3 linked regions of the Stegostoma tigrinum genome follow. The protein of the gene in region 1 interacts with the protein of each later gene in a pairwise test. Links are inferred from orthologs where the notes say so. Each region holds a gene or a part of one and is shown on either strand. Other genes may lie near its edges. The genes, in order: reep6, litaf and ptpn9a.

Region 1 (11,702 bases):
AGCAACAGAAGGAGGGAGTGTCAGACCTATCACACTCACTCTTGAAATCTTCCCCATAAAATCTAAACCACCAAATAAAAAAACATACAAAAACTTTCCAACTAACATCTCACACCAAAGCACCAGCCTTGGTTATAATCCATATTTTGATTCATTTAACTCGAGTGGGAGTGCTAATGTAAAGGAGGCTTATACATTTAATAGCATTTACAGCACAAATTGGGACTGGGAAAAACTCCTTAACAGTGATGTTAAAATTAAATGCCAACATGTGTAGTGTTGCAAAAATGGATTGAAGCAGTTGCAAAACCTCAAACTATTGCTTTAAGCTCCACACACTTTTCCCCCAAAATACATGCCACATTTATTCTACATATTAGGATAAAGGCATGAATAGGAAAAGTTGCATCTATAGCAGACTGAATTATTCCCAATTAAAAAAACATTTCTCAGTCATTTCCATTTGCTTCCATCAGCAACAATACACCACGTTTTTACAGACCTCCCCAATACTCAAAACGATGAGATAAACATCTGCATTTCTTTGTTATCCCGGTCCTAAAACAGCTCTGCAGCTGCTTTAATTTATGGCATTGAGGCACCATCTTTCAGAAGTCAGAAAAGAAAACACATCAATACCAATAAAGAGTTATTTCCTTCTTAATTATTACATTGGTGTTACATCACTCCAATCCTAAACCAAGCATGCAAAGGAATAACAAAAAAAAGTGCACATTTTGTTTGGGCTCAACACAATACTATAGGAATAGTGCACAGTTTTAAAAATAAAAAAAATTGAGTGGTCAACATTTAATCCTCCTATCAACGCTCTAAGTAAAGCAAATCCCCAAGGATCTGGTGATCACATTGCCTAGAGGAGCTTGTTGTGTGTAAATTGGTCGCATAGTTCTGCATTATAAACTGTATAAGAAAGGCGGTTTATTAGATTCGGGACATACTTGGGCAGTGAAAAAATGTTCTATGTACGCCAAACTTTTGCTGGCACTAACCATTCACCAGCATAAGCCATACCCGTCCTAAGTTGATGAATCCGTGTTTGCGAGCTATCCTCTTGGCTTCCCCTGCCCCACCAGAGATGTGGACAGCCCAGGTGTTGGTGTAGAGCCGCCTGCCGCTACTAAATTCACCAACAACACTTGCAAACAGGCCAACCACTAAAAGCTGGCGGATATAACTCATAACGATGTGATGGACCTTCAAGCGATCTCAACTCCAGCCTCAAACTATGTCATTTTATAGCCAAGGTCAGCTCCAGCGCAGCAAGACTAAGAAGAAACTTGCTGCAGGTCGTTAAGGGATTTTTTTTTTAAAAAACTAAGCCTCAATACAATGTCGGGGGAGGAGCAGGGGCAATAATTGGCTACGGTTTCCAAAGTATCACACGCACACCATTAAATCAGGGATGAGAAACTTGCGGTAATTGTGTTATTGTTCAAGTTGGAGAGTGGCGCTCACGGAAACAGCCGAATGTTGCCGAAGCGGAGTCAGCGGGCAGGTTCATGTGGAGCGCCTGCCCTCCCTCCCTCCCTCCCTCCACATCACTCCGGGGTTTGGGGGAGGCGAATGGAACCTCAGCCAATGACCGGCCCGTTCTGGCGCGACGGTTGGCGGCGGTGACGTCGCCGCCAGGTGCGCCCGTGCTCAACGGTCGCTGGTGGCTGACGTAATCGGCAGGTGTGCTCGAGCTTAACGACTGAACACCTGAGGCGATGGGGGAAGGGATGATTGTTCCAGTTCTACGGGTCGGAGAATGGAGGACTTGGATATTGTATCTGACCTTGCTCCTCTTCAAAGAGGTGTAACGTCTGAATGAAGTCCTGAAGTTTCCACCACCGTCCCCATCCACAGTCACAATAACTTGCTGAGAAACCCATTGACGGCTGAGTCCCAAAACCCACACCCTCTACCAGCTAGATGAACAGGGAGGACATATGTAAAAGCAAAATACTGATTACTGGAACTCTACAGAAAGAAATTAAGCAGGTCTGACAGCATGTGTGAAGAGAGAAACTGAGATGAGACTCCGGTATGACTTCTTCAGAACTTAGCAAGTTCTGCAGTAAATGCACAGGAGCAACTATCACCAGCTCAAAGTTCCTCTCCAAGTCACACACCTTTCTGACTGGAAATTTTACTGGTGCCATTCTCTATTGCTGGGTCAGAATCCTGGAACTTCCATTTTAACAGCATAGCAAGTGTACCTGCAGCATTTAGTTCAAGGTGGGAACTCACTACCACCTTCTCAAGGGCAATAAGGGACGGTGAATCAAATTCTGATTTTACCAATGTCACTCTCATGCCATGAAACAACTTTTAGAAAGGGCTTAAAAAGGCTCATCTTCCCCTTGAAACCCTCTGTTACCTTCAGGCTTCGAGTTACTTTTCTGTGGGGGAAAAACTGCACAAAGAAGCTACAATTTCTGCGATTTAAAAAAAAACTTACCCTACCTCATCTTGCATTGTGAAAAAATAGTTTGTGGGCTTCATCCCAAATTTTGGCCATGATGTCACAATTTTATGTTATCAACAGATATGGAGCAATCAGAGATAGCACCCACTGATTTACAGCAAATGATAAACTGTGTGGGCGGAGGAAGAGTTGAACCTGTCATCATAAAACTGTAAAGTGGATATATATCTGCTGAAAAAGCTAGGGATGAAATTGAAAGAAATGTTAACTTAATAGATTTGTCTCTAAAATATGTCAAACAAATACACAATTTACTAAATTAATAGGTTTGAAAACAGAAAGTGCTGAATCCACTCAGCAGATCAGAAAGTATCTGAACAAAAAGGAATAGCTAATATTTTAGGGTTTTTCATCAAAGGGGATACAAATGTTGAATTACTGTTAAATATATGAGAAGGGATAATGATTAAACTTTGTAATTCTCTAATTAGACCACACTTTGCATCCTGTAAGTAACCTGGCCACTTAGAAATAAAGAAAAATCAGAAGTACAGGGGAATAAAAATGAACGGAAGTATCATGTCTCTCAGATTGGAAAATAATTTATGATTCCATTTGAAAGCAGGTAAAGAAGGCCCTTATTGCAAGCCATCACTACACAGAGTTAATGTTGTTACGCAGCAGTTTTTGAGACATCACCTTGCCTTACTAATACTCTATAAATAAATAACAGAGAAACAGTAATTATTAAGAACTTGCATCTCATTGGAGATGCTTTAGGCCAGTCCACATCCATTAGCCAGCTATGAAAACGGTGCTCATTTTTTAAAGCTATGACAAATTCCAAGGCAGCATCTGATATATTCTGCAGCATTCTAAAAGAATAATGTTTTAAATCAAACAGCCCTCACCAGGGACAAAAAGAAGGCCAAGATAACTAACTTTGCCGAATAAATTCCCAAAAACCAAACATTGATTCCTGTTACTATACCACATATAATGCAGTCCCAAAACATTTTAATTGTGAAAGTACAAATTAGATTCATTAGTAGTTACAAGTTGCAGAAATTTAAGTTTTACAGATTTTACATTGAAGGAATTTGTTGTATTGTTTTCCTTTTCAACTTTTACTTCAGATTATAACCATGTGCTCATTTTATGCCCTGGGTGTGGCTCCCATGTTAACTATTTTTGCATAGAAGTCACTGTAAAAGATGATGGAAAGAGGAAAGTGCATGGAATAACAACATTGACATATTCATTTGTTTTTGCCCAAATCTCTTTTAGCTCTTGCAGGTGTTTTAGTTATAATTATTTAGCTCATATTACAACAAACCAAGAAATTTATTATTTACTTTGAAACAGCAATTTACTGTTTTATGTTGTGTGACCCATTTTTCTAAGCACAACTTGTCTTCTATTAAAATGCAGCATAAAATCTACTGATAAGATTGCTTTTTTTGTTTAGATTTTAAGTGTATTTGTAGCATTTTCTGTGCTCTGTCTATTTGTGTTTTGTTAGCACCAATAAATGAGGGAAATATTTAATTATAATTATGATCAGAAGCAACAGTAATTTGAATACTAGCTTTCAAAGATCATGAACAGTCTTTTTGCAAATTACTCAACTGATTTAGACTCTTAAAAGTAGTTTACAATGCTCAGAAAACAACTTGAACATTTGAAAATTATACAATTAGAAGAAAATAATCAAACGTTTTAATTCTAAACCAAAAACAGGAAATATTGAAAACACAAACAAGACACCTGTGGAGAGAAAGGCTGGGCATTGGATTAGTTTTGGCTATTTGTCATAATGAGCTGAATAGACACTTTCACTAAAACAGCTACCAACTATGTTGCCTGCAAATGCTGGTAGTCATCCTGACTTTCTAGCCATTTGCATATATAAGTAGACTATGCATCATATTTACAACACACAAATACACCATTTGGTTCAGCTTGTCCATACCAGATTTTACACTCTGCACAAACCACCTCCACCCTTCTTCATCAAGTCCCATACTCTTCTATAACCTTTTCGCTCATGTGCTTAACTTGATTCACTGTAAATGTTCCACAGTACAGAATTGCAAACTTTACATCCTTGTTCACAAAAGTGTGTAAGGTTAAGATAGCAACTATGGATCATTCACTTTAAGGTTGTTGGCGGGAAAAGATTTAGAATCAATAATTCAAGACCCAATTAACAGTCTCTTTGAGAAATACAAAGTTGATTAAGAAACCGACATAGAATTATGAAGGGGAGATTAAGGCCATTAACTAGCTTAAGTTTTTGATGAACCAACAGAGAGAGTTGATGAAGGTACAAGTTATGGTGAAGTTCTAAAATACACTAGTTCAGCCTCAACTGAAGAATTGTATCCATGTCTGGATAGTACATTCTAGGAAAACATGAAAGCATTTTAAAGAGTGCAAAAAGTATTTACAAAATTAATTTCAAGTTTGCACAATTTTAGCTACCATAGCAATTTGAGAGGAGTTTTGATAGATTATGTTCAAAATAATTAAGTTTCTGCACAAAATGTAAAGTCCCTATAGTTGGGACAGTTAAAACCCAGAAAACATTAATTTAAGATGACTTGGAAAAGAACCAAAGGCAACATGAGAAAAATCTTTTTTATGTATTTATTGTTTATGATCTGGAACCTGCTCTGCCTCTGATAGAAGCACATTCGGCCATGGTTTTCCAAAGTGAGTTGAATCATTAATTATGTAAGGAAAAAGGTTTTCGTGGAGGTGGGAGAAAGCAAATGCCGATGAAATGTTCTAGCTGAAGTAGCATAGACACGACAGACTAAATGGCTTCATTCAATAACCATGTTATGCTTCTAGATGGTTCACCTCTCCTTGTGTTGGTGAGTTTCACAATCTGCCTTTGCGAAACAAAGTTTCTCTTGAATTGAAAAAGATTTTTAAATTAGTTATCTTATACATTTGGTCATAAAGTATTGGCCTCCCAACAACAATAAATGGTCTTACTACATCTACCTTAGGACTTCCAAACCTTTTCCCAATGATGCCATTTCAAGACTTGAAAATTGTCATGAACAAAACAGAAGGTGCTAAAAAAAAGCTCAGCAGGTTTTGCAATACCTGTGATTAAAAAAAAAATCAGAGTTAACATTTTGGGTCATTGACCCTCCATCAGAAGCATTGAAAATTGTCATGACTCCTCAAGGAAAACTGAGAAGTTGGGGTTGGTGGTGGTTGGAAAGACCTATGAGAACAGGAGGCAAGAGCAAAGACCTATGAAAACGAGAGGAAAGGAGCAGTGACAATGGGAACTGCAGACGCTGGAGAATCCAAGATAACAAAGTATGGAGCTGGATGAACACAGCAGGGTGCTTTGTGGTGATCATTACTGCCTGAAAAGCTTGCAACCCCAAAATTTCAGCAGGCAACTCTGCTAGAGTCACGAACCCCCACTTTGAGAAGCCTTGACCTACTCTAGTGAAGCAAGTTGTAGCATCAAATACGTCTAGTCGGTCTTCTACTTTTTCAGAATAAAACGTTCAATTTTTTTTCTGATATTGATGAACTCCGAATTCAGGTTTAACTCCAGTAAAGAGATAGTAGGAACTGCCGATGCTGCAGAATCTGAGATAACAAGGTGTAGAGCTGGATGAACACAGCAGGCCAAGCAGCTTCGGAGGAGCAAAAGGTTCCAGACCCGAAACTTCAGCTTTCCGGCTCCTCTGATGCTGCTTGGCTTGCTGTGTTCATCCAGCTCGACGCCTTGTTATCCCTTAACTCTAGTAAATCTGTTCTTGCATCTATAGTATTCTTGTGCCTCTATACAATTTTATAACACGGTGACCAGGACTGTAAATTGTACTCCAAAACATGGTCCCTTCTGGACTTGCCTGTCTATCATTTCTTTTTAAATCGCTATACAAAGTCAAATTGACAAACAAAGATCTGGGTATGAGTATCAACCGTGGTTCCAATTGGGCAACTGGTGTGCCAATCACAAAATGATGCCGGAAACGTAGCTCCAACAAACGGATCGCGTCGTCGTTAAGCGGATTGGCAGAAAGGTTTGAGAGTCAGCAAAGTGGAAGATTAGTGGGATAGCTGCAATAAACGGAACGCGTTGGGAGTTAGTAGTGTCTTCTGTTACCTTTAGTAGTATTTATTGCAAAATGCCGTCCTTGCGAGAGCGCTTTGAGAATTTCCTGAACGAGAAGAACTTCATCACCAACTTATTGGGGAAGATTGAAGAGAAGACCGGGGTGCGTAAATACAATCTAGCCACAGGTAGGTCACAGAGACTTGTTAGCACCCAATTGTAATATGTTGTTGAATGTCAACTTGCGCTGGCTTCGACTGCGATTTGATTTCGCTTGTAAAAAGAAAGAACTGAGGACGCTGGAAATCAGAAATTAGTGGAGAGCAGTCAGGCTTAACGTTTCGGGTTGAACGACCCTTCAGAACGCGTGTCACCCGTCTGCTACATGTTGCCAAAAGCTGTGGTTACGTTTTTGGGGAAGTCAAGACCCTTCAAGACACGAATCGGTGATATTGATAGTGGAAATTGTAAGGGTCACTTAAATACTTGTCTTTTTTTTGCAATCATGAGCTGTAACGATTTAAATTGCATTGTTAGTGCGTGGTTTTGGAGCTGAGAGGCATGTGGTTTGTGTCAAAGGACAACATTTAAAATTCCAAGATTTATATGATATTCTAAGCATATGCTGACTGAATTGGTACTCTTTATATATTAACAAGTTGGTTAGAAACTTGGTCTGTTTTAGTAAGAAGGAGGAACCACAATTGAAACAGTTTTCACTTAATTGTGGTAGATATAGGAAATCTGTGAATTTGGTTAAGCTGTTATTTTTGAAGGAGTAGCATTGTATGTTTCGTGCAGATTAGAATGCTGGGAGGTTATGTTGTGGGAATGTCACTGGATTATTAATCCAGATCCAAGCTAATCCTCTGGTGACATAAATTCAAATCAGATTCAATTAGTAAAAGCTGGAATTGAAAACTGGCCTCAATAATGTTGACCGCAGAACTGTCATCAATTGTTGTAAAAATAAACTCGTAGTTCAGAGTTCACTGCTTATGCATGTGACTCGTGACAGGAACGTGGTTGATTCTGAAATACTGTAACCCAAAAAGCCATTCAGTTCAAAGGCAATTGGGATGGGCAACATACTTTAACTTTTGCCAGTGAAACACGTGTGAAAGAATAAATTTAAAATTAATTTTATTATTGAAGCAGTGCCAAAAGAAAACTCCAGCACCAGAACTCATAAATTAAATATATTGGGGGAAAATTCAGCAAGGGGATTTCCTTTTTCCTCGAGAAAAGAGAAAATGGAGGGGTGACCTGGTTAAACCTGTGGTGTAGGACATCAATAAATTTGTTTGGCATTCCTTGTCGAGAGTGTTCAGAAATTGAAATCCAATAGTGCAAGTAATTGGGTGAATAGCATAGATGCCCTCTAAGAAGAAACTGAATGGACGTGCATGCAAAAAAAGGTTAAACTATTAGAACTGAATTTAATGAAAACTGAAGGAGGTTGGTGTGATGCACAAGCACTGTGAGCCAGTTGGGTCAATGACCTGTTTTCTTCTGTTCCGCACTATTGCGTGTACTATTTTGCGTCCAAATTCAGTTCTGATCCAACATTCAGCAAGTATCCCAGCAATATGCAAAATATTTTAAAGACAAGATGTTACCTAAATATGCCACTTCTTTTAATCTTCTGTTCAAATCCTATGCTATTTCAGGTCTATGTGTACCTTCAAGAAGCTCCTTTTTGAAACTTATTTCCTTAATTACATATTTTATTTGTCAATCTGAAAAGTTTTCAATTCAAGTTCTGAAGTATGGGCTTCTTAACACCAATACCAAAAGGTACATGTTGAAAGTAACAATCCTTTTTGTGTATTGAAATGTAAAAAAATTTCACATATTTTAGACTTCCACAAATGTGCCAGCTTTTTTGATACTAACTGTGTGTCTACAGAAATTTTAGTTTTCTCATTTATGCAATTGTTTATTTGCACATGGTGGAAATACCTTCGTGTTTTCAAATATCTTTTGGACTTGGGCAGGATAAAGAATGCAAAGGAATACATGAAGAGTAGAACAACCCTAGGAATTGCTGAGGATCAGAGGACTTTGGTGTGCATGTCCACCTATCCCTTCAAGCCATAGGACAAGTCGATAAAGTGGTTAAGAAGGCACGTGGATATTTGTCTCTAGCTAAGGCATTAGAAGGGAGTTTATGTAGGAATTGTATTTAAAAAGTTGGTCAGCCAACAGCTAGAGTATTGTGTGCATTCTGGAATCCACACTTTAGGAGGAATATATCATTGGAGAAGATGCAAACATAATTAATCAGGATTTTTTTTAAAAAAACAACAGCAAAAGAATGGTGGAAATCAGAAACGGGAACAGTCTGCTGGAAAAGCTCAAATCTGGCAGCATCTGTGGACCTAACATCTTCAGGTCCAGTGACCCTTCTTCAGATCAGTTCTTCCATGTTACAGAATATTTGAACTCTGTGACTAAAACATTAATGTGGTAATTCCCCAAAATGATTTCCTTAACTCCACTTACTACTTATGCAGTTAACTCCAGATAAACCACAATCCATTGCCGGATCATCCCTGTTTGGATAATGGCTCAGCAACTTGCTGGACATGGAACTGAATAACTGAAAAGAATAAATGCAAAAATACTGAAGTTGCTGGAAATCTGAAACAGGAATGGAGCACTGGGGAAACACACAAGGACAGGCAGCATCGGTAGAGAGAAAAGAGTTGGTGTTTCAAGTCCAGTGACCCTTCATCAAAACAGAAATAGACAGAATAGTCAGTAACCGTGCTGATAACATTCATGGGGTTGAGTATGTGATCTGTTATAATATGTACACACCATGTAACTAAGAAGAGCAAAATGTAATGGAAGTTCATAACTTGTAACTTGTATTGCCAGTCAACCTTGATGTTAAATTCCTCTCTTTAAATTAATCTTTGTAAGACTTAACAGTAAAAGTATTGTAGAGTACTAGAGTAGTATTACTGAGAGCAAAGACTTACTGCTGAAGGCCTTACCAAACCAACAGCTTCTGTTTTAAAATTTGCATTATAATTAATCTTGCGTGATTTGTTTTCTTGTGTCCAAAGGCAATTGCATGTGGCAAATAACAAGGAAAAGAAATTCAAATAAGCAATTATTTCCATAATGTTTCTAAGTTGTAGCTCCATTGCAAGTTGCATTTTAGCTCTGTACTGGACCTCAGTGTATTTTATGAAGTTGATTTTATAGCCAAATGAATGAATGCTTCACAAGGAACTTTTTACCTATGTTGCTAAATGTATGTATGATCATTTCGCTGAGGTTAATTGAAAACAGCCTTAGCAGACAGGACAATTTAAACTTTGACAACAGTGGCTGCAGGGTATTGATCCTCCCTATACTAAAGCATTCCCTCCTATGACAGTTTTAGTGGCAGCGATTTCTTGCATTTTATTGCAATATTTAAGTGATACACAGCTTTCCACATCTACAGGTGTGTTCTAGAGCTGGAGACGGAATTTATTCAAGCAGAGGGTGGTGGTGGAGGGTTTTTCATACCGAAGACCTGTGACCCGTGGTGTGCCGCAAGGATCGGTGCTGGGTTCACTGCTTTTTGTCATTTTATATAAATGATTTGGACATGAACATAGGATTTATGGTTGGTAAGTTTGCAGATGATACCAAAGTGGAGGTGTAGTGGTCTGCAAAGAAGGTTACCTTTAGAGTACCACAGGATCTTGATCAGATAGGTCAATAGCTGAAGAGTGGCAGATGGAGTTTAATTTAATAAATGTGAGGTGCTGTGTTTTGGTAAGGCAAATCAGATCAGGGGGAGACTTGTACACTTAATGGTAAGGTCCTGGCGAGTGTTGTTGAACAAAGAGACCTTGGAGTGCAAGTTCATAGTTCCTTGAAAGTGGATTTGAGAGTAGATAGGATAGTGAAGAAGGTGTTTGGTAGCTTGTGCTTATTGGTTAGTGCATTGAGTGTAGAAATTGGGAGGTCATGTGGCTGTACAGGAAATTTGTGAGGCCACTTTTAGAATACTGCATTGAATTCTCGTCTCCCTCTATATGAAACTTGAAAGGGTTCAGAATGTACTTACAAGAATGTTGTCAGGGTTGGACGGTTTGAGGTACAGGGAGAGGCTGAATAGGCTGGAGCTTTCTTCTTGGGAGCATCGGAGGCTGAGGGGTGACATTTATAGAGGCTTATTACATGAAGGGCATGGACAGGGTGAATAGCCAGGACCTTTTTCCCATGGGACGTGGGGTCCAAACCTAGAGGGCATACATTTTAAGGTGAGAGGAAGGCAATTTTTTGGTACGGGGTGGTGCATATATGGAATGAGCTGGCAGAAGTAGTGAAGGATGGTACGATAGCAACAATTAAAAGGCATCTGGATAGGTATGTGACCTAGAAAGGGTTTAGAGGGATATTGGGCAAATGGGACTAGATTACTTTATCATATCTGGTCAGCATGGACAAGTTGGACCGACAGGTCTGTTTCCATGCTGATCAACTCTGACTCTCTTTCATTTGATCAATATGTAGCTCAAGTTTTTTTAAAAAAATAATTTCTGGTCTGGTATCATGAATGAATTCCTATCACTTACATTGTGGTCTAAAATATCTGGCAATATGCATAAATGCACTTAAGTGCACAATGTACTGTGAAAGTATTATCATCCTAAACAAAGGGAATGGAGAAGAGTGATTAGTCTACTTGTTAATGCATGCCTCCTCAGGCTGGTGAGTGCTTTGGCCTGCCACCACTTTCAGCAGTGAGTCTTGCATTTATTTTTGGTGGGAGAGGAGGTGTAAGGCCAAGTGCTACTGTGAAAAATCAATTCTGACACATTAGGCCATTTTGTCAGGCCAGGGCCAAGACCAAAGATACACATCTGAGCCCAATAGACAGAACCTGGGCCATAGGGCTGGGGACTGTTGCCCTCAGATTGAAGGATGAAGTTGATGGCTTGAACCAGGAGCAGCCCTGGGAACATGGTTTCTCTTCTTGCCATTGAGTTGCAACTCAGTTGTAGCACGCTTTCTCTTCTTAATCACAAAATTCCAGATCCAAGCCTCCCTCCAGCACTAGAGCATAAAAACCAAGGCTAACATGCCAGTGCAGCACAGTCCAAAAGTGCACTTTCTTTTGCATGTGACTGATCTGCTGCCTTTGTGGATGTGACAAATCCCCATAGCACC
Region 2 (10,700 bases), on another chromosome or scaffold:
GTTATGAGTCTTCTTAAATGTTCTGTGCCTTCACCATCGTATCTTCTGGTCAGGAATATTAACTAGTTATGCCTTTGGTACCATTTTTTATTTAGACGGTGCTTTCTCCAAGGCATAGAGGAGGCTATGAGAGCCAGCGATTCTCTCTTCAGGCCTGAGGGCGTTTAGCTCTAGCGGATGGCAGTTAGCTCTGTAGTCTTTGTCCAAATCTCTCCTTCTTTTATATCCTTGATGACATATCAATACTTCTTAGAATAGGATTGGTCCTATGTTGTCAAAGCCATAGATTTAAATTTAATCGGTTTTTGGTATCTAAGTCCCTGGTTCAAATTGATTGGCTAAATTCAAAAACTTGTTGTCCTGGTAAAAACTGCTGCTTGGCCAGCTAACTGTTTGGCGTCTTGATACAAATATTTCAATTTGGGTGCTCAATGTGTACTTGCAGACTTTCGAGCTGCTGCTCACAGGCATCCATTTTAAATCTCTAAGCACAGAAAAAGCACGTCATCTTTTAAAGGGACCACACAATGCTCTCTCTTCCCCCCACCCCACCAACATTTTACAACAATAAGATTCTAACTTCCTACCTCCCAATCCACAAATACTCTACCCAACACTGCAACAGTATGAACTAATGGCATTTGCCTAAGTTGCTGAAGTTCAGCCAAAGCAATGTACAAAAAAACACCTTCAAGAATGTTGATCAGTTTATGCTTCCGGCTGTGGACCCAATCCCAGGGCAACACATGGCACAGTTCATAACCACCTGGTAACGAACTCTTTTACGTGGGGATGCCCTGGGTGACTGCTCCTGTGAGTATATATTGTTGTATGGTGTGTTAAGAAAGGGTCAACGTAGTAAGTGGAAGTTGCATTGATAACAAAGGGAAGATAAAGCCACCGTAGTCCCCGAGGACCATAGGCTGCTCTCTCATTACAGAGAGAGAAAGGGAGAGAGAGAGAAGATCTGTAGCTCCGTTGAGGTCGTAGACTTCCTCAATGAGCTGATGTGTGTGAATGCAGATATTTTGTCACCCTGCTAGGTAAAATCATCATTGCGCCTCTGGTGAAGCGTTGGTGTTCTGTCCCGTTTGTTATTTATATGCTTTGATTTGCTGGGTGGTCCAGAAGTGATGCCAACTAGCCCAGCAAACCGAGGCATATAAATAACAAGCAGGACAGAACACCAACGCTTCACCAGAGGCGCAATGACGATGTTACCGAGCAGGGTGACGAAACACCTACAACCAAACCCACCAGCTCAGCGAGCAAGTCTACAACCTCAGATCAAGAGAGATGATGGGCGATGGTTCAACCTGAGGGTCACCATGTCTTAGACACTTAGCAATTTTTAATAGATGCACCATAGAAAGCATCCCATCTAGATGCATCACAGTATGCTATGGTAACTGCTGTTCCCAAAACCACAAGAAACTACAGTGAGCCATAATCACAAGCCCTGTCCATCATGCAAACCAGCCTTCCATTCTATGACTTATCTGTACTTCCTGCTGCCTCGGGAAAGCAACTAACGTGAAAGACCCTCCACAGGCAGATCACACCATACGAAGTATGTCAGAGTAGCAAAACAGAGTGCAGGGTATAGTGTTACAGCCGCAGAGCAGGTGCAGAGAGAGAGATCAACATTAACATTTGAAGGGTCCATTCAAAAGTCTGACCCCAGCAGGGAAAACCCCTTCCGCCCCAGTTATATTCTCTTCATCCTCTTCTGTTGGACAGAAGATATAAAAATTTGAAAACATGTTTTATTAGATTCAACGGCAGTTGTTGTCAGACTTTTGAATGGACCTCTCAAATGTTAATGCTGGTTTCTCTCTCTCTGTACCCTCTCTGTGGCTGTAAAACTGTACCCTGCACTCCGTTCTGCTACCCTGACATACTTTGTATGGTGCGCTCTGCCTGTAGAGCATGCAAAACAACACTTTTCACTGTATCTTGGTAAATGTGACAACAATATATCAAACCAAGACTCAAAGGGAGAGGTCACGAAGTGGGTCCTTCATTAGTAACTGAACCTGTGATATTGACATTATTCTGCATCACAGAGCAGCTATCCATCCAACTGAGCTAACTATGCCCCTGCAGTCATTGTAGTGTTTTGTATAATAGATATCAAAGTATGAGATGAAAGGGTAGGGAAACCCCTTGTCCCCCTTTAGTTTACTTCACTCAGTTTGCATTTAGCTGATTGATGTCTAACAATGAAACATACTTATTCTCCTCATACTTCCTAGTCCTGCTCCTTAGTTTTATTCAGTGGTCTATAGCATATTCTTGATGTTAGTTTGGAATTTTTAAAATCAGGCTGTTTAATCAGAAGAGGCATTTTTTACAACTTTTTACATACCACATAATCAGCTTCTTTTACCTCCCAATTGTCACTGAAATGTCATCCATTTGGCATTTTAAATGTCAATATTCCGAATCTATCCTCATTTTCTCTGGTTGGAGTTATTCCTAGCTCAAATGGAGACGGTTGTGGCTGTTGGGGGTGATCATGTCAACTCCAGGACATCTCTGCAAGAGTTCCTCAGGGTAGTGTCCTAGGCCCAACCATCTTCAGCTGCTTCATCAATTACCTTCCCTCCATCATAAGGTCAGAAGGGGGAATGTTCACTGATGACTTCACAATGTTCAACTCCCTAGATTCTGTAGCAGTCAATGTCCATCTTCAGCAAGGCAACACTTGCCCTTCCTCAGGCAGCTCAGGAAATTTGACATGTCCATAAGGCCCCTCGTCAACTTCTACATATGCACCACTGAAAGCATACTGTCCGGGTGCATAACGGCCTGGTACGGCAACTGCGCTGCCCAGGACCATAAGAAACTACAGAAGGTGGTGTGCACAGCTGAGAACATCATGGAAGCCAACCTTCCACCCATGAGCTGCATTTACAGGGCTCAATGCCACAGAAAGACTGCCACCATCATTGAATACCCATCCCACCCTGGTAATGATCTTCTACAGTCTCTTCCATCAGGCAGAAGATATAGAAGCCTAAATTCACATATGAGTGGGTTCCTGAACAGCTTCTTCCTGGCTGTTATCAAACTGATTAATGGACTCTAGTCTCAAATAATGCTAATCTTGCTAATGTTGATCTGCCTAGCATGCACACTGTGCAATATAACCTGTATGCTCTGTCTAATTCTTTTCACAACCCCTGATTGTACATCCTTGCTTACTATGATCTGCCTGTACTGCTCATAAACAAAGCTTTTCACTATCCTTCGGCACACGTGACAATAATCAAGACATGGACAATTATCAGGCTTGTGCTGATAAATGGCAAGAAACATAAAAATACCAGACAATACCTACATCACATAAAAAGGCCTTTAATCATCTCTCTTTGATATTCAAGAGCATTACCATTGTTATCCCTGGGGTTAGGATGAACATCCCGAGGGTTTCCATTGTCCTTTAATTGAACTGGTCCCGCCATATAAATCCTATGGCTGCAAGAACAAGTCTGAGAATGGGAATACTGCAGTGAGCAACTCACCACCTGTCACCCCAAAGCCCTCCCACCATCTACAAGGCACAAGCCCCCACTTTGCTGGATAAGCACAGATCCAACAACGCTCAAGAAGTTTGATTGGCACCTCATCCAACACCTTCAACATTACTCTCCCATTGCTCAGGTACAGCAGTCTGGACTACAGCGATGTACACAATACAGAAGCTGCACAGCAGCACCACTAAAATTCAAATCTTTCAAATCTGTGGCTTCTCCCATCAAGAGGGACAAAGGCAGCAGATACATGGGAACCACTTGCAAGTCCCCATCCAAGCCACACACCAAAAATATATTATCGTCCCTGCTGTGCTGCAGGATTGAAATCCTAGAATTCCCTTCCCAACAGCATTGTGGAGCAGTGGCTAAACAAAATATCTCAGCACTACATTCTGCAGGACAATGGGTGGACACTATATGTTGGCCAGTCAGTGACACCCACATCCCAAGATTGAAGGCTTTTAAAGTCTTACGGATGTGACTCCCCTCGCATTCATACCGTTCCATTGTCCTTGCCGAAGATGTTTCCTCCGTCTTATTGTACAACATTCCTAGTTCCTGCAAGCTCCTAGTTTGAATGATTCTTAATAGCTGCCTCAATGACTATCACGTTCTTCGACCAGTTTTGCTTTGTAAGCTCTACCTACATAAGAGGTCCACTTTATTCTGCAAAGAATCACAGAGTCTTAGAGCTCTCCAGCACAGAAACAGACCCTTCGGTCAAATTCATCCATGCCAACCAGATATCCTAAATTAGTCTAGTCCCATTTGCCAATATTTGGCCCATATCACTCTAAACCGTTCCATTTCATGCACCCATCTGGATGCCTTTTAAATGTTGTAACTGTACCAGCCTCCACCACTTCCTCTGGCAGCTCATTCCATACACGCACCACCCTCTGTGTGAAAAAGTTGCCCCTTACGTCCTTTTTAAATCTTTCCCTTCCCTCCTTAAATATATGTCCTCGAGTTTTGGACTCCCCTACCCTGGGGAAAATACCCTTTTACCCTATTCATGCCCCTCATGATTTTATGAAGTTCTATAAAGTCACCCCTCAGCCTCTGACACTCCAAGGAAAATAGCCCCAGCCTAACCCTACAGCTCAAACCCTCCAACCCTGGCAACATCCTTGTAAGTCTTTCAAGTTTCACAACAACCTACCCACGGCAGGGAGACCAGAACTGAACACTAGGTGCAATATGTCAGCCTTCCTGCTTCTATGATGCTTCTTGGCCGGCTGTGTTCATCCAGCTCCACACCTTGTTATCACAGTATTCCAGAAGTGGCCTACCTAACGTGCTTTAGAGATTCCAAGCAAGTTAATGTGAGCACTTTCTTGTCCCATTGACAGTTCATTGGACACAAGTTGGCTAAAAATACTTGACAGACATTATTTCATGCTTCTAGGGCTTGAACTCGGGTCTCTTGGTTCAGAGGTAGAGACATTACTGCCGTGTCTCCAAAGCCCTCCAAGGCAGGGAATTTCCTGAGGTCGGCAGAAGTGCTTGACTGATTGGGATTGGCCATTAGTGCCCGTGAGCGAGCTGGCAATCAGCTAATAGCGATCGATCCTCGCCGCAGTGCGGCGTCATGTGTTAAATAGAGTCAGATGATACTGGCTCATACTCAGGGACAGAGCTACAGTGTGTGGTTTGTTTGTGTTTTATTATACGGGTACAGGGGTCCCTTTACACCGCTGTCGGACGTGGTGCATTTGAAGGATTTGAGGTAAAGGACTCGTTGGTATTTCTGCAATTCTCTAGTTCGTTTGCTGGGCTTTGTCGAAGTGTTTTGTTTTTTTTTAAGTAAAAATTTTGTACGATGATGGTGTGTGGGTTAGAATCAGTTGTAATGTTGTAAACGTTCTGGAAGAAAGTGTCTCGTAGCCCACCCCCGCCCCTCAAATCAAGCAATGTTGTGTATGTTAATGTTAGGGAGGGTGTTTGTTTGAACTGAGTCAAAAGTGACTTGTTCACATCGTTGTATTTAAAATAGTTTGCTTTTTATAAATCCTGGTGCCTGGTAAAGAGATGAAAGTTAGTACATCTTACTTAATTAGTCATAAGACTCTGTATTAGGTCAACTCCTCTATTTTTAAAGCTAGCTACCACGATGATGTGAGAATAGCTAACTACTTTTAGAAGTGTCTTTACTTTTCACGGAAGAATCCACAAATTTCTCAACTCGCAAAGTCCCCTAAGCGTAGCGAACTGATCTCAGCTCGGTTTAATTTGAAATTTGTTTTCACCGGTCATTAAGCAAAGTGCATTTACACTAGCTAAAATAAACATTGCCATTAAAGCATACGCAGTTTCTGTTAAATAATTTAAGGGTGGGGTTGGAAATAGGGTTATTAGGCTATCGCTGTTTAGTACTAAGTAGCCAGAGCCTAAATGGAAAACGAACTGTTCGTGCTCGTTGTGGATTTTGAATCTGCATTAGACTTATAAGGAAATGGAGTTCTTTTAAATTAAAAAGCTGAAGAAAAGCCACCAGGATTTGAAATGTTAACTCGACTTTCTTTGCACAGACGCTGCCAGACCTGAGTTTTGCCGCAACTCTTTTTTGATTTGAAAATAAACTTCTAGTGTCTTATGCTTTTGCCACCTTTTTAATGGGTTAATACACCTGTAAACTGCAAGCTGTCTATAGGGGATTGGTGGAATGAACATGACCACTCAAGCCAATGGTTTTTAACTACTGTACAATGTTGTGAAGTTTGTAGGTAAACGTTTGTTTGTGAAAGCATGCTGCTTTACCTGAGTGTGGAGGCTGGTGATAATGGGGACTGCAGATGCTGGAGAATACGAGATAACAAAGTGTGGAGCTGGATGAATACAGCAGGCCAAGCAGCATCTCGGGAGCACAGAAGATGATGTTTCGGGCCTAGACCCTTCATCAGAGAGGGGGATGCTGGTGACTGTGTTTCTGATCTTTGTGTGCCTCTTTATTGAAGGCAGTATCTGCTGGGTAAACTTCCAGAGCCATATGTTATCCAGAGCAGTATGGTAGGTGTGTGTGGAGTTGTTTCTCACTGAAGTGTATAACAAGGTTGTGAGCTGCCACTATAAACTACACTCTGCTCTTTCTCTTGAGACTTGCTGCCACCATCCTCTTCAGGAAACTAGATCTACTTTCTCCAGTGAGATGGAGAAAAGCTGCTTGGCCTGGCCAGATTCTGTTGAGAACCATCTGGTTTGTTGTGGTAACAATTACAGGTTATGTTGATGATTGCTAGGCATTAGTCATTAAGTTTCTCAAACAAATGTTGAGTCCTTTTTATTTTGATAAACTGTTTTGTCCACTAGTCTCAATCTTATGTTTTAATATGAAGATCTCTCTAGTAGGTTTTCATAGCTGAACTAATGTACAGGACAATAATCTCCAGATAAAACTTCTGCCATGAATACAAAGTCAGAACTTTCTGCTAACACTTGGGTGCTTTATTCATTCACGTTAAATGTGATAGTAGGGTTTGCGACTACCTCCATTATGGGTGGTGTTTATGGCTGTCCAGAATTAACCTTTCTGACTCGAGCATAATAATGTAGTTACTGAAAATCTAGATCTAGCTATGGTGTAGATTGTAATCAGGGTCAATAGGATGTAAAATGTTGAATAATGCTGAAGATCTTGAACTCAATGACTATGAAAGGCTGAGTGCTGTATGGGAAGCTTCTACCATTTGAGCAGTGTGACCCATTATTGTCACTGTCAATCTCCTGACTTTCATGCATGTCTTTTTAATGTAGTAAGATGCCCCAAGGTACCTTCCAACTGTTTCTCTTAACACTTGACCCTGAGCTAGCTGACTGGAAGCTTGGTTAGAAAGCCATGTTTTAAGGAGCTGCAGCTATGGCCATCACTTAGTTTTTCAGACATGGTATGTGCTGATTGCCAGTATTAAAGTAGATTGCTGGTAGAAGGGATTTGATTGATAATGAAATGATAAGTTGGTGACCATTGGTACAGTGTTTGAATAGGATTTGGTGTGAGTTAATCTAGGCAGCAGTGTGAAAAATGTTCATGCTGTATTAAGGATTTTGTGAATTGAAACTTCAGTATTATAACATCCATCACTAGACTGGATGCTGGAGAAACTGTACAGATCTGGCAGCATCTGTACAGAAAGAATTAATATTGAGTCCAGTGACCCTCCCTAATAGAATTGTATAACTTGCCTATTTCAAAATTGACCATAACTTGATTGCATCATGCAACAGGCTTAATGAGCTGAATGGCCTAATCCTAATTGTGGCTACTGATGTTCTCTTGAATCTGTGGGATAGTGTTTTGTTCGGCACTTACTGATCTTAATGCTTTTAAGCTGCTACCATTAATGAATGCAATAAATTTCTCAAATCAAGTTTGAGGGAAGGCTAACCTCAATTTAGAGTACAGGCAATCTGCAAATTAAAATTACATGCTACTTAACAAGCAACATTTTTATAACTGAAATGGTTTTTCAGTCCAAAAACACTTTTTTCAGGACAAATTTTCAGACTGCCCACCTGAATTGAATGGAGGTGGGTCAGAGTTGCAAAGTGCCACTCTATCAGGAAATTTTGTATTTCTTTTGAAGTGGAGGTGCTGCTTTGCTTGAAGCCCAGTGCCTGTTTTCCACAAGGAAAACAGATCAATATTGTGAACGGCAAGCGGTGTTGCTAGGCTACTTGATACACTTATACAGCTGATCTCATCTCTGCCTCAGTTTGCTTTCTGCCCATTCCCTGTAACTCTTCAACCCATCACTAATTTAAAAATCTATCTGACAAGTTTATTCAGGGTCACATTATCCACCATGCTCTGGGGTCGTGAAGGCGATAGTCAAGACCCTTTATGAGAGAAGCCATTTCTCCTGTCTGTTTAAATCTGTTACACCTTAGTCTAACACTGGTCTCTCCTCCTGGGTTGCCCCTCTAGGTTGGAGGTGGGGGCAGTGTGGTGGAGACACATCTCCATGTCTATCTTGTCATTCCCACTAGCATCTTGTGCAAATTAACTAGATTGCCTCTTGCTCACCAAAACTTGGTCAAGTTTAGGTCTTAACTGCTCAATCCCTCCTTGTGAGGCAAGTCTTTTTTCTGGAGTTAATCTAATGAGTTTTCTGAACTGCCCACCCCCATGCAATTACTCCTCTCTCTCCAGTAAGAGAATAAACAGTGCTCAGTACTCGGCGGGGGCAGCGCAAGTTTGCTAGATACTTCTAGAATGGCACTGCCTGCCATAAAAGTAATGCATCTTCAGCCAAATTCACGGCGTGCTTAGGGAGTGTTTGAGGTTTTTTAACGCAGAGATCTATTTTCAGGCAAGTGTTACTTTTTTCTTTGACTCTGTGGTCACATTACCTATTTCATAGCTTTTGGTGAGCACCCCAGTACTTGAAGGAAACCTCAATTGATGGAATTACTTCCAATGGATTGAAGTGGATTAATGTTAATCCCACACATGGGAAATCTTAATTCCATATGTGTAAATGAAAAGTGCAGAGCAGATTCTAAATTGCATCTTCATGTAATGTAAGGGGTGTGCTGTTGTCTGCACTTCCTAGAATATCCCAGATTTTACCCAATGTGCCACTGCACAAGTCACAATTGGTTCACTTCAATGTATTGTTAACTAATGGATTAAATTACTTGGAATTTTTCTTAAGTCATCTGTTCTCTTGCTGTGGCTATTAAAGTTTGAGATTGCACTGCTTGTGTAGAAGTTGCCAGGTCACTTGGTTAGGACTCTGTGCTGCACTCCTCCAGTGGTAATAATAAAATGTGAGGCTGGATGAACACAGCAGGCCAAGCAGCATCTCAGGAGCACAAAAGCTGACGTTTTGGGCCTAGACCCTTCATCGGAGAGGGAACTGGAATAAATGGGGAGGTGGACCGAAGATGGAGAGTAAAGAAGATGGTGGAGAGAGGATAGGTGGGGAGGGGATAGGTCAGTCCAGGGAAGACAGACAGGTGGGATGAGGTTAGTAGGTAGATGGGGGTGCAGCTTGGGGTGGGAAGAAGGGATGGGTGAGAGGAAGAACCGGCTAGGGAGGCAGAGACAGGTTGGACTGATTTTGGGATGAAGTGGGGGGGGTGCGGAGAGCTGGGCTGGTTTAGGGATGCAGTTGGGGAAGGGGAGATTTTGAAACTGAAGTCCACACTGAGTCCATTGGGCTGCAGGGTTCCCAAGCGGAATATGAGTTGCTGTTCCTGCAACCTTTGGGTGGCATCATTGTGGCACTGCAGGAGGCCCATGATGGACATGTCATCTAAAGAATGGGAGGGGGAGTGGAAGGTTGCAGGAACAGCAACTGACATTCTGCCTGGGAACCCTGCAGCCTAGAGTTGCTGTTCCTGCAACCTTCCACTCCCCCTCCCATTCTTTAGATGACATGCCCATCATGGGCCTCCTGCAGTGCCACAATGATGCCACCCGAAGGTTGCAGGAACAGCAACTCATATTCTGCCTGGGAACCCTGCAGCCTAATGGTATCAATGTGGACTTCAGTTTCAAAATCTCCCCATCCCTAAACCAGCCCAGCTCCACCCACTGCATCCCAAAACCAGTCCAACCTGTCTCTGCCTCCCTAACCGGTTCTTCCTCTCACCCATCCCTTCCTCCTGCCTCAAGCTGCACCCCATCTACCTACTAACCTCATCCCACCTCCTTGACCTGTCTGTCTTCCCTGGACTGACCTATCCCCTCCCTACTTCCCCAAATATACTCTCTCCACCTATCTTCTTTACTCTCCATCTTTGGTCCACCTCCCCCTCTCTCCCTATTTATTCCAGTTCCCTCTCCCCATCCCCCTCTCTGATGAAGGGTCTCGGCCCGAAACGTCAGCTTTTGTGCTCCTGAGATGCTGCTTGGCCTGCTGTGTTCATCCAGCCTCACGTTTTATTATCTTGGAATTCTCCAGCATCTGCAGTTCCCATTATCTCTAACTCCTCCAGTGGTGTTTAGTTAACTTCCTGTCCAGAATATAGGACTCGGCATTCTGTGAAGCTTGAGATTTGATCATGTTTCACGTCAGTCACTTTTTTTAAAAAAAAGCCATGCTCACTTTATCTACAGGATGCCAATGTTTACTGATGAAATGCTGACTGGTACTGTCCAAACATCACTTCAGAATTTTTCTCAAGTATGAGAGCACAAAGAGTGCATGTGCAGTG
Region 3 (10,707 bases), on another chromosome or scaffold:
TGAAGAGGACAAGGCAGTGCCACCCATAGCTTCAGGCCAAATCCAGCAGTGGGCTCTAATATTAAATGTGTATAATTACAAGTTGGAACACCATCTGGGAGACCAAGTAGCAAATGCTGATGTATTGGGCTGTTTCCTGCTGGCAGACAAATTTTATGCACACACTCAGTCACAGCTGAAAGATCCGGCCCTGCCAAAACTGAAACAACTGGTGGTGTTGGGTGAAACTAAAAGGACCGTCACAATTAGAGCTGAAACCTTTTTGGACCTGGAGAGACGAGATCACTGTAGAGGATGGCATTTTATTACAGGGAGCAAGAAGGATTGTTCCAAGAAAATGTCACTGCCTGACACTGGCAGACCTCCACCAGAGTCATCCAGGGGTTGCCAAAGTGAACGTGCTGGCGAGAAGTTATGTCTGATGGCCAGGCCTAGGTGCAGATGTAGCCATGTTGGTGGGGCAGTGCTCAGAGTGCCAACAAGGACAAGAATTACCACCAGCAGTTCTGCCATCTTAGTGGGGGCGGCTAGGTAAACTTTAGACATCTACTGTGCAGATCATTTCATGGTTGGGCATGCAGAGAGTACATTTGTCAAATGGGATGACAATAGAAAAACTGTGCGTATCTTTTTCAATACACAGAGTCCTGAAAGGGTAGGTCATAGTTACGTTTATCAGCAGAGAATTTGGGTATTTCCTAAAGTTGAACAGCATTGGACATGTAAGGACAACTCCATATTGCCCATTATCCGATGGCCTGGTAGAAAGAGCAATGTAAACTTTGAAGGCTGGCTTAAAGAATCAGCCTACAGCCTCACCAAGAGACGACACTGACCCAGTTCCTATTTGATTATAGGACTGTTTGATATGAAACTACAAGAATAGCTGCATCACCGTTTCTAATGGGGAGAAAACTCCACACCAGGTTAAGTCTGATCTTCCTGGACCTGGGGGAGGGTGAAACAGCATCAGGATTGCCAATGCCAGACTTGAGACTCTGCCAAGCAAGAGAGACGGTTTGATATAGGGGTCAAAGCCTGGTGTAAGTGTCACAGAAAATGGCCCTTCACCGGTAAGGGGCATGGTTAACACAAGATCAGGACCAGTGATGTATGAAGTTTGGGTCAGTATGACAGTCCTGAACAAGCAAATGGACCATATGAAGGCTGCAAATGCGCGAACGGTGTGGAAGCAAAACATGCCCGGCCCCTCGGAACAGTTGGCAATGCTACTGGAACCTGTGGGTTCACCTCGCCATCAAGTGTTGACAAGAGTTCTGAATCAGAGATAGACATGATGGATATAGCTACCACGAAATCTATGCTGCCAGGAGAATGAAATTCTACTGAAGCACTGCTTGCTGGGGCAACAGGCGAGCTCCCATGCATTACACGCTACCACATCCAACGCAGAGTTGGAGGAACCTGACCTGGTGCTAAAACACCCCAGGAGTCTCTCCAAGAAAAATGACTGGCCTATATCCTCAGGCTCAGAGAGGGAGGGATGTAGAGATTGTAACGAGGTCATGCAGCTGGACATCATAGAATATGGGATCCATGATTGCACCAGATTAACAGCCCCAGTCAGGGACCTCTGACTGACAAATAAAAAGGTGAATGTCAGAGATACTGCCACTCTGGGAGCTGATTTTGAGGAGGTTGTATTTGGGTCAAGGACCCTTCATGAGTAAGTAAAGGAAGGGTGACTCGCTCACTTGCTTCTGTGGAGTTATTTCAGTGATGCTCCATGTTTCAGTTGCCTTTGACCTTCCAGGTAGTATAGATTGTGGATTTGGAAGGTGCTGCTGAGGGAGCCTGGTTGTGTTGCTGCAATGCACTTTGAATAGAAGTACACATTCCTGACACTGAACATCAGTGGTGGAGGAAGTGGATGTGGTGTCAACCTGCCAATGTTAACCAGGAGAGTTGTGATAATGGGGGATTCACTGTTGTAATACCACTGAAAGTCAAGGGGTGTTAGTTAGGTTCAATCTTGTTGAAGATGATCACTATATGGCACCTATGTGTCCAAAACTGGGATATTGTCCAGATCTTGTTGAATTTTGATGTGGACTGCTTCAATATCTGAAGATTCCTGAATGATATTGAAGTTTGTGTCATTATTAGTGAACATCTACACTTTTTACCTTAGAAAATGGAGGGGAAGTCATTGAAACAGCTGAAGATGGTTGGGCAGAGGAAACTACCCTGAGGAACTCCTGAACTGATGTCCAGGAATTGACATGCCTGACCTCCAACAACTACAAGCATCATCCTTTTATGTTTGATATGAGTCCAATTAGTGGAGAATTTTACCCCAATTCCCATTTACTCCAGCTTTACCAGGATTCCTTATAGAATCAGAGAATTAGATGGCATAGAATAGGCTCTTTGGCTGATCAGTTCTGTACTACCAAAAATATGCTGCTGCTACTATATATACTAAACATATTAGTCCCACTTCCTCACACAAGGGTCATAGTCTGGGATGTTTGCTGATTCAAATACTTTTTAAAGCTTATGATATTTCCTGCCTTAACTACCCTCCCAGGCAGTACATTCCAGACCTCCTCCACATTTTGGGTGAAAAAGATTTTCCTCAAATCCTTTCTTAAACATCCTGTCTTTCACTTTAAAAATTGTGGTTTAATTTTCCCCTGCTTCTTGGCTTTTTAACTAAGGGGAATAGCTGCCTTTTATCAACACGATCCGTGCCCCTCAATCTTATACATTGCTTTCAGGTCTCCTCTCAACCTTCACTCCTCCAAAGAAAACAACCCGATCTCATCTAATCAGTCTTCATTGAAATGGTCCAGCCCAGGCAATGGCCTGGTGAATCTCCTCTGCACCTGATCCGTGCAATCATATTCTTCCTCTTGTGCGGTGACCAGAACGGTACACGGTTCTTCAGGTGTGGCCGAACCAAAGTCTTTACAGCTCCAATGTGATCTCCTTGCTTTTATAATCTGTGTCAACTGATCATAACTGCCCTATTGACCTGTCTTGTCACCCTCAGGGATCTGTGGACAAGCGCCCCAAGACCCCACTGTTCCTCTGAGCTTCTTAGTGTCTTGTCACCCATTGAGTACTTGCTTGCTCTGCTCCTTCCAAAGCGCATCGCATCACATTTATTAGGGTCAAATTCTATCTGCCAGTGATCTGCCCCTCTGACCAATCTGTTTATATCCTCCTGTGGCCTAACACTGTCTGCCACCTGGTCAATCTTTATGGCTTCCAAAAATGTACTTATCATCCCTCTCACATTCTCAACCACATTATTTGTGAATATCACAAACAATAAGGGATCCAGTGCTGATCCCTGTGCTGCACCACTATGCACTGTCTTCAGTCACACAAACAGCCTTCTAGCACCATCCTCTGCCTCCAGTCACAAAGCCAACTTTGGATCTATCTTGCCAGGTTATCCAGGATCCAATGAGTTTTTAGAGATAATGGGAACGGAGAGAGTGGTCTCTCCGGAAAGCAGAAAGGGGTGGGGATGGAAAAATGTCTCGGGTGGTGCGGTCGGATTGTAGATGGCGGAAGTGTCGGAGGATGATGCGTTGTATCCGGAGGTTGGTAGGGTGGTGTGTGAGAACGAGGGGGATCCTCTTTGGGCGGTTGTGGCGGGGGCGGGGTGTGAGGGATGTGTTGCGGGAAATACGGGAGACGCGGTCAAGGGCGTTCTCGACCACTGTGGGGGGAAAGTTGCGGTCCCGGAAGAACTTGGACATCTGGGATGTGCGGGAGTGGAATGTCTTATCGTGGGAGCAGATGCGGCGAAGGCGGAGGAATTGGGAATAGGGGATGGAATTTTTCCAGGAGGGTGGGTGGGAGGAGGTGTACTCTAGGTAGCTGTGGGAGTCGGTGGGCTTGAAATGGACATCAGTTACAAGCTGGTTTTCTATCCCCACCCCTGTCTGCTTTCTGGAGAGACCACTCTCTCCGTGACTCCCTTGTTCGCTCCACACTGCCCTCCAACCCCACCACACCCGGCACCTTCCCCTGCAACCGCAGGAAATGCTACACTTGCCCCCACACCTCCCCCCTCACCCCCATCCCAGGCCCCAAGATGACATTCCACATTAAGCAGAGGTTCACCTGCTCATCTGCCAATGTGGTATACTGCATCCACTGTACCCGGTGTGGCTTCCTCTACATTGGGGAAACCAAGCGGAGGCTTGGAGACCACTTTGCAGAACACCTCTGCTCAGTTCGTAACAAACTACTGCACCTCCTAGTCGCAAACCATTTCCACTCCCCCTCCCATTCTTTAGATGACATGTCCATCATGGGCCTCCTGCAGTGCCACAATGATGCCACCCGAAGGTTGCAGGAATAGCAACTCATATTCTGCCTGGGAACCCTGCAGCCTAATGGTATCAATGTGGACTTCACCAGTTTCAAAATCTTCCCTTCCCCCACCGCATCCCAAAACCAGCCCAGTTCGTCCCCTCCCCCCACTGCACCACACAACCAGCCCAGCTCTTCCCCCTCCACCCACTGCATCCCAAAACCAGTCCAACCTGTCTCTGCCTCCCTAACCTGTTCTTCCTCTCACCCATCCCTTCCTCCAACCCCAAGCCGCACCCCCATCTACCTACTAACCTCATCCCACCTCCTTGACCTGTCCGTCTTCCCTGGACTGCGATAGGGTTAGGGTCCTATCCCCTCCCTACCTATACTCTCTCCAGCTATCTTCTTTTCTCTCCATCTTCGGTCCACCTCCCCCTCTCTCCCTATTTATTCCAGAACCCTCTCCCCATCCCCCTCTCTGATGAAGGGTCTAGGCCCGAAACATCAGCTTTTGTGCTCCTGAGATGCTGCTTGGCCTGCTGTGTTCATCCAGCCTCACATTTTGTTGTCTTGGATTCTCCAGCATCTGCAGTTCCCATTATCTCTCCCTCCTCTGATGCTGCTTGGCCTGCTGTGTTCATCCAGCTCTACACCTTGTTCTCTAAAGATTCTCCAGCATCTGCAGTTCCTACTATGTCTTGTATGATTTTTTTTTCCCCCTTACTGCACTTGGTTAGGGTTTTGTTTGAAGGCAACGGATACCGGGGAGATTTGGGCACCCAACTGAAGATATTGAGACAGGATAGAATTACAAGGCGGGGGGAAGAGGGAAGGTCCGGGATTTGAACCCGGGTCGCCCGGTCACCAGCCCAGTGACATGACCACTGCGCCACGGTTGGCGGGCAGGGCGGGGCCGTGGAGGATGAACCTGTGAGCAGAGCTCAGCCATTGTTTGGCTGAGGGAGGGAAGGAAGGAAGGATGGGGGCGGAGAGTTCGTCCAGAAGCCGGGGGTAGCAGCGGCAGGCGGTTGCAGTGAGAGCGGAGCGCAGCCGGGCCTGGGCGGAGAACGGAGTGAGGATGGCGGCGGAGCTGACGGCCGAGGAGGAGCAGGTCAGGAAACAGCTCAGACCGGATAATGTAGTGCGCTTTGTTTTTAAGGTGGGGAACCGGGGGGAGACGATACTGATTCTCCCCCCCCCCCCCCCCCCATATCTGTGTCGGTGGTGAATCGGGCGGCTGTTTCCACATCCCCCACCCCCACCTTTTCCCGGGGTAGGCCCACCGTTACCACGGCAGCCGCGGCCTATCGGGGCACCGGGCTCGCGTACCGACACCAGGGCGAAGGGGTGATTCCTCCCCCCAGCTCCCGCTCCTTTCCAGGCAGCTTCCCAATGCGGCGTTCACCCTGATTTAATGACAATTCTTTCACTCCCGTCCTTCAAACTTTAAAAAAAAATCGTCTTTTTCTTCCCGTGCAGGCATTTCTCTTTTCTGAAGGTCGGATTTATTTTAATTCTAACGTTCTTCCCCCCCCCCCACCCTTATTTTTCTGAATGCAAGTTGAGGGGGAAAAATTCACTAAGCGACAGATTTTTTTTTTCAAAATCTCCACAGAATCTCAAGGCTTATTGTACAGTCCAGTTGATTCTGTTATCGTGGGTGTCCTTACGAAAAAGCTGCCATTTACTTCCAGCAAGCTTTTGTTCTGAGGCGGTGTCAAGCGAGCAGTTTCTCACCGGTTGGGTGCGTTAGTCACATCCCAAAGATAAATGGATCTTAATTTCAAGAGATGCCTCCAGGTTGAGGAGCAGAAGTTTTGTACTTGAGAAGGGAAAACAGTACATTTGGAGAAATTGCCATTTCTTTGTAGTAAACTTATCATTTCCGAGCACAGTTTAAGTGGTAGACCATGGAGGTTTAGGAGTGAACTGACGTTGATACGTTGAAAGAGCATTTCGTACAGAATTCATTTTGCACCCTTTTAAAATCAGTAGAGCTTGAATATGTCATGAGGCATTTCTTTTAAAATAATTGATATCTTGCCAACACTGGCTTGTTCAAAATAGGCACTGTGTAGTTACTGTGAAATATCTTAATATTTGATAATGGAGACCTGTAGATTAACAAATTTCTTCCTGTTTGCTCCTGTTACCTGAGTGCTAGTCAATATGTAAGCATATGGCGTCATGTGATACTAAACCACATACGAAGAAAAGTTCCAGAACCGTTGCTTGGTCTTTCCTGAAATGGTTTCTTGCAGTTGGAGCTCTCTCCAAAATACTGGGCATCATTGGTGAAGTGACAAATGTGTGAAATGGTCACTTTTTAGAAATTCACAACGACAAGGTTAAGGTCAAGGTCAGGATCAAAATCAAATCCCTTCCTCTGCCTAACTGTGCTGGAGGAGGCAGGTGTGGATGAAGTGGGGGAGAGGTTCCAAACAATTATTTGGGGACTAATCCTGCAACTCTGGATGACCATGATTTGCCATCTTGATCTGTGGGGCGGGAGAGAAATACAGTAGCTATATACTCGTAGAGAGGTACAGCATGGAAACAGACCCTTTGGCTGAACTCTTCCACATTGACCTGGTATCCTAAACTGATCTAGTCCCATTTACAGGCATTTGGCCTATATCCCTCCAAATCCTTTCTACTTATATACTCATTCAGATGCCTTTTAAGTGTTGTAATTGTACCAGCCTGCCCCTTTGTCTGGCAGTTCATTGCATACACACATCGCCTTCTGCATGAAAATGTTGCCTCTGGGATATATGGCATCTTTCAAGGTACTTTTAAAAAGCATGTTATCTGTTCCATGGATGACAAGTTTTTCTATCTTGTGCTGTTAGAAATCATTGGAATCCATTGAATTCTGCTGGACTTTCAAATCCAGGACTGGCAGTTCATATTGAGTGACGGGGGATGAATGGAAGTGTTAAAATTAGGATTGGTATATTATCAGCTGAGGATACAGCTGTGAGTACTGGTGAGAAGATTGCAACAAGCTCCTTGTACTCATGCTTGCTGAAACAGATTTGCATTTGTTATGTATATTTAAGTTATTAATTGAAACATGCTGCACATTTCTAAAACTGTGTGAACTTAGAATACCATACAACTCATTATTAAGACAAATATATGGAAGTCAGTTTCACATTGTTTGTGATTGTAATCACATTATAGAATGGGTGGGAGAATTGGTTACAGTGCGGTGTGTATTTACATATTTTCAGTCTGCGTTGCTACAGTGAGTTGCAGGACTTGCACTGAGGTGGACTTGATGATTTGGCGGAGTTTATGTTGACCTAGATTGGATCGTGGAAAATGTTAAAATTTTCATCCTTGGCTTTAAGTCCCACCGTGGACTCAACTCTCATCTCATCCAGCATGCAGTGCTCCAACTTTGTGACCATCTAACTCCACTGTCTCAATCATCTTGTTCCACTGGTGGCTGAGCCTTCAACTGCCAAGGACCTAAGATATGGTATTCCCTTCTTACACCTCTTTGGCTCCTTTTATATATTTTCTTTAAAACACTCCTTAAAATTTATCCTTTTCATCAAACTTTTGGGCATTTATTGTAATGTTGTCTTAGATGGCTTGGTGTTGGAATTTGTTCCAGAAGGGCCCAGTGAAACACCTTGGAACATCTTGTGATTGATAGATGCCCTGTATTCATAAATTGTTATTGTTGAATGTGCAGTATAAATACAAGTTTTTTTTTCTTCGTCTTGACTCCAAGGCTGCAACAAATGAGGAGTAGATGGAGTAAGGTCGAGGCAGTTGGGAGACAGTACAGTATTAACGTTAGTGAACATAGTCGACAGTTCTTTCAGCTGGAGTCCCAGCCTGTCAATCCCTGATGAGTATCAGTAATCGATAAAACAAGATCAGGATCAAATCGAGTTGCGATAGGTCCTGTGGTTGAGTAACCTGCCAGTGTTCACCCTCTCAGACGCTGCCAACCAAATGTTTCTTTTGGGACTAGATGGAGGCAGTTCCCACCATGTTCAGCAAATGTAGTTGCCCTTTGCACTATAAAAACTTACAGGGGTCCAGGAAAATGGTGAAGATGTAATGTTCATCCTGTCAGTTTATTTATTTGCCTCTAGCTTGGGAATGTGATATTGCTGGAAAACTGTTGATCCAAAGTCTGGCTGAAAACTCCTGACTAAGCTTCTAATTAACAGAAAGCTTGTGATGCTCAGTGACACGGAAAAATGCTGCTCGTTAGTCTGCTGCATGAAAGAAACTTGACTGCTTTGAAGTACTGTAATGCTACTGTCAGTCTCAAGAGTTGATTTAGTCCTTCCTTTTTAGTCTAGCTAAAGTCCCTGACTCAATGATTTTGCTAAGTTTCATTTTTACAATACTTTGTCGGAAAATTAATTGATTCTATGCTAGAAGCTTTTGTATATGGTTTCAGTGGAAATTGCTAATTATTTCATTTTTCTTTTAAAAATGTTAACTTCCTGCCCAGTAAGTAGTAATTTTATTTGGTGATCTTAGGAATTCGTTGTGAAATGTAACACTTGGTATTCCTTGGGAATCGAAAAGACAACTGTGGAATTAGGGCATTCTGCCCGTTGAGTCTGTAACACCATTAATGAGATCTTGGCTGATCTAATAATCCCAACTGCACTTTTCTGCCTTATCACCATAACCCTTGATTCCTTTACTGATTAAAATGTCTGTAGCTGCCATGAACATACTTAATGGTCCAGTCTCAACAGTCCACTGCAATAAAGAATGTGACAGATTCACTGCTCTCTGGGGGAAAAAGTTCCCCCCTCATCTGTGATAGTAGGAATAGCTGATGCTGGAGTTTGAGATAACACAGTGTGGAGCTGGAGGAACACAGCAGGCTAGGCAGCATCAGAGGAGCAGGAAAGTGGATGTTTCAGGTCTGGATCCTTCTTCAGAAATGGGTGAGAGGAAGGGGCATCTGAAATTAATAGAGGTGGGGGCGCGGTGATAGAAGATGGACAGTGGAGCAGATTGGTGGGAGAGAAGATGGATAGGTCAAGGAGGCAGGGATGAAGCTAGTAAAGGTGAGTGGAGGTCAGAAATTGGGATGGGGGTTGGTCAGTGAGGTGGGTGGAGCGGGTAGGTGGGAGAGAAGACGGACAGATCAAGGAGATGGGGATGAGGGCGGGGTCTCGGTTCGCAACAAATGACAACACCTCCCAGTTGCAAACCACTTCAACTCCCCTCCCATGGCCTGTATGACATGTCCACCCTGGGCCTCCTCTCGTGTCACAATGATGCCACCTGAAAACTGGAGGAACAGCACCTCATATTCCACCTTGAACCCATTGAATGTTCTCTGTGTGGACTTTACAAGCTTCAAAATCTCCCCATGCCTGATGTCATCCCAAGACCAGCTCAACCCCCCCCCTCATCCCCGCCTCCTTCACAACTCCATCTTCTCTCCCACCTATCTGCCACTCCTACCTCACTGACCAACCCCCATCCCACTTCCTGCCTACACTCACCTTTACTAGCTTCATCCCTGCCGCCTTGACCTGTCCATCTTCTCTCCCACCTATTTGCACTACTGTCCACCTCCTATCACCGCACCGCGCTCTCTATTTACTTCAGAGCCCCCTTACCCTCCTCCATTTCTGAAGAAGGGTCCAGACCTGAAACGTCAGCTTTCCTTCTCTGATACTGCCTGGCCTGCTGTGTTTCTCCAGCATCACACCACGTTATGCCTCTCGTCAGTATCTTACATGGGAGAGCCTTTATGCTGAAATTTTGTCCTCTGATTCTACATTTGCTCACATCTACCTTGATTATTTAATAAAGGTCTCCTCTCATTCTACTAAACTCCAATGTGCACAGACCTAAGCTGCTCAATCTCTCCTTACAGGGAAAACTATCCATACCAAGAATTAGTCTACTGAATCTTCCCTGGACTGTCTCCAATGCCAATATATCTTTCTTTAGATAATGGGACAAAACTGTTCACGGTATTCCAGGTGTGGCCTGACTAGTGCCTTGTCTAGTTTTAGCAAAGCCTCTCTACTTTTATACTCACTCCTTTCTGAAATAAAGTCTGATCTATTTGCGTTCCCTATTACCTGCTGAACTTTTTGTGACTTTTTGAGAATCACTTATGAGGCCATTCATATTCTTCTGCACTGCAGCTTTCTGCAGTATTCCCCAATTAAATAATATTCATCTCTTCTATTCTTCCTGTCAAAGTGCATAACCTCGCATTTTCCTGTGTTATGTCCCATCTGTCAAGTTTTTGCCCACACGTTGAACCTGTCTGTATCTTCCTTTCGACTCCTTGTCATGTTTGCTAGTTGTCAGTACTTGCCTTCCTGCTGACTTTTGTGTCGTCCAAAAACTCAAAAATAGTATTTCGCTTCCATCATTGATATATTTTGTAAATAATTGTGG

The links.
Region 2: the proteins of reep6 (region 1) and litaf interact in binary tests that used the Homo sapiens proteins (3 or more experiments, as listed by UniProt). The two-hybrid records come from large-scale screens. The link is inferred for Stegostoma tigrinum from reciprocal best matches to the Homo sapiens genes REEP6 and LITAF.
Region 3: the proteins of reep6 (region 1) and ptpn9a interact in binary tests that used the Homo sapiens proteins (3 or more experiments, as listed by UniProt). The two-hybrid records come from large-scale screens. The link is inferred for Stegostoma tigrinum from reciprocal best matches to the Homo sapiens genes REEP6 and PTPN9.

What each region holds. Positions count from the first base shown.
Region 1 is NC_081383.1:11,411,255-11,422,956, reverse strand, and holds the start of reep6 (receptor expression-enhancing protein 6), read left to right. Parts: upstream 1-6,443; 5' UTR 6,444-6,597; coding exon 6,598-6,712; intron 6,713-11,702. Other genes in the region: proprotein convertase subtilisin/kexin type 4-like, read right to left, coding at 1,033-1,200. UniProt on the Homo sapiens protein: Required for correct function and survival of retinal photoreceptors. Required for retinal development.
Region 2 is NC_081376.1:5,008,097-5,018,796, reverse strand, and holds the start of litaf (lipopolysaccharide-induced tumor necrosis factor-alpha factor homolog), read left to right. Parts: upstream 1-5,140; 5' UTR 5,141-5,268; intron 5,269-10,700.
Region 3 is NC_081389.1:4,440,909-4,451,615, forward strand, and holds the start of ptpn9a (tyrosine-protein phosphatase non-receptor type 9), read left to right. Parts: upstream 1-5,304; 5' UTR 5,305-5,374; coding exon 5,375-5,407; intron 5,408-10,707. UniProt on the Homo sapiens protein: Protein-tyrosine phosphatase that could participate in the transfer of hydrophobic ligands or in functions of the Golgi apparatus.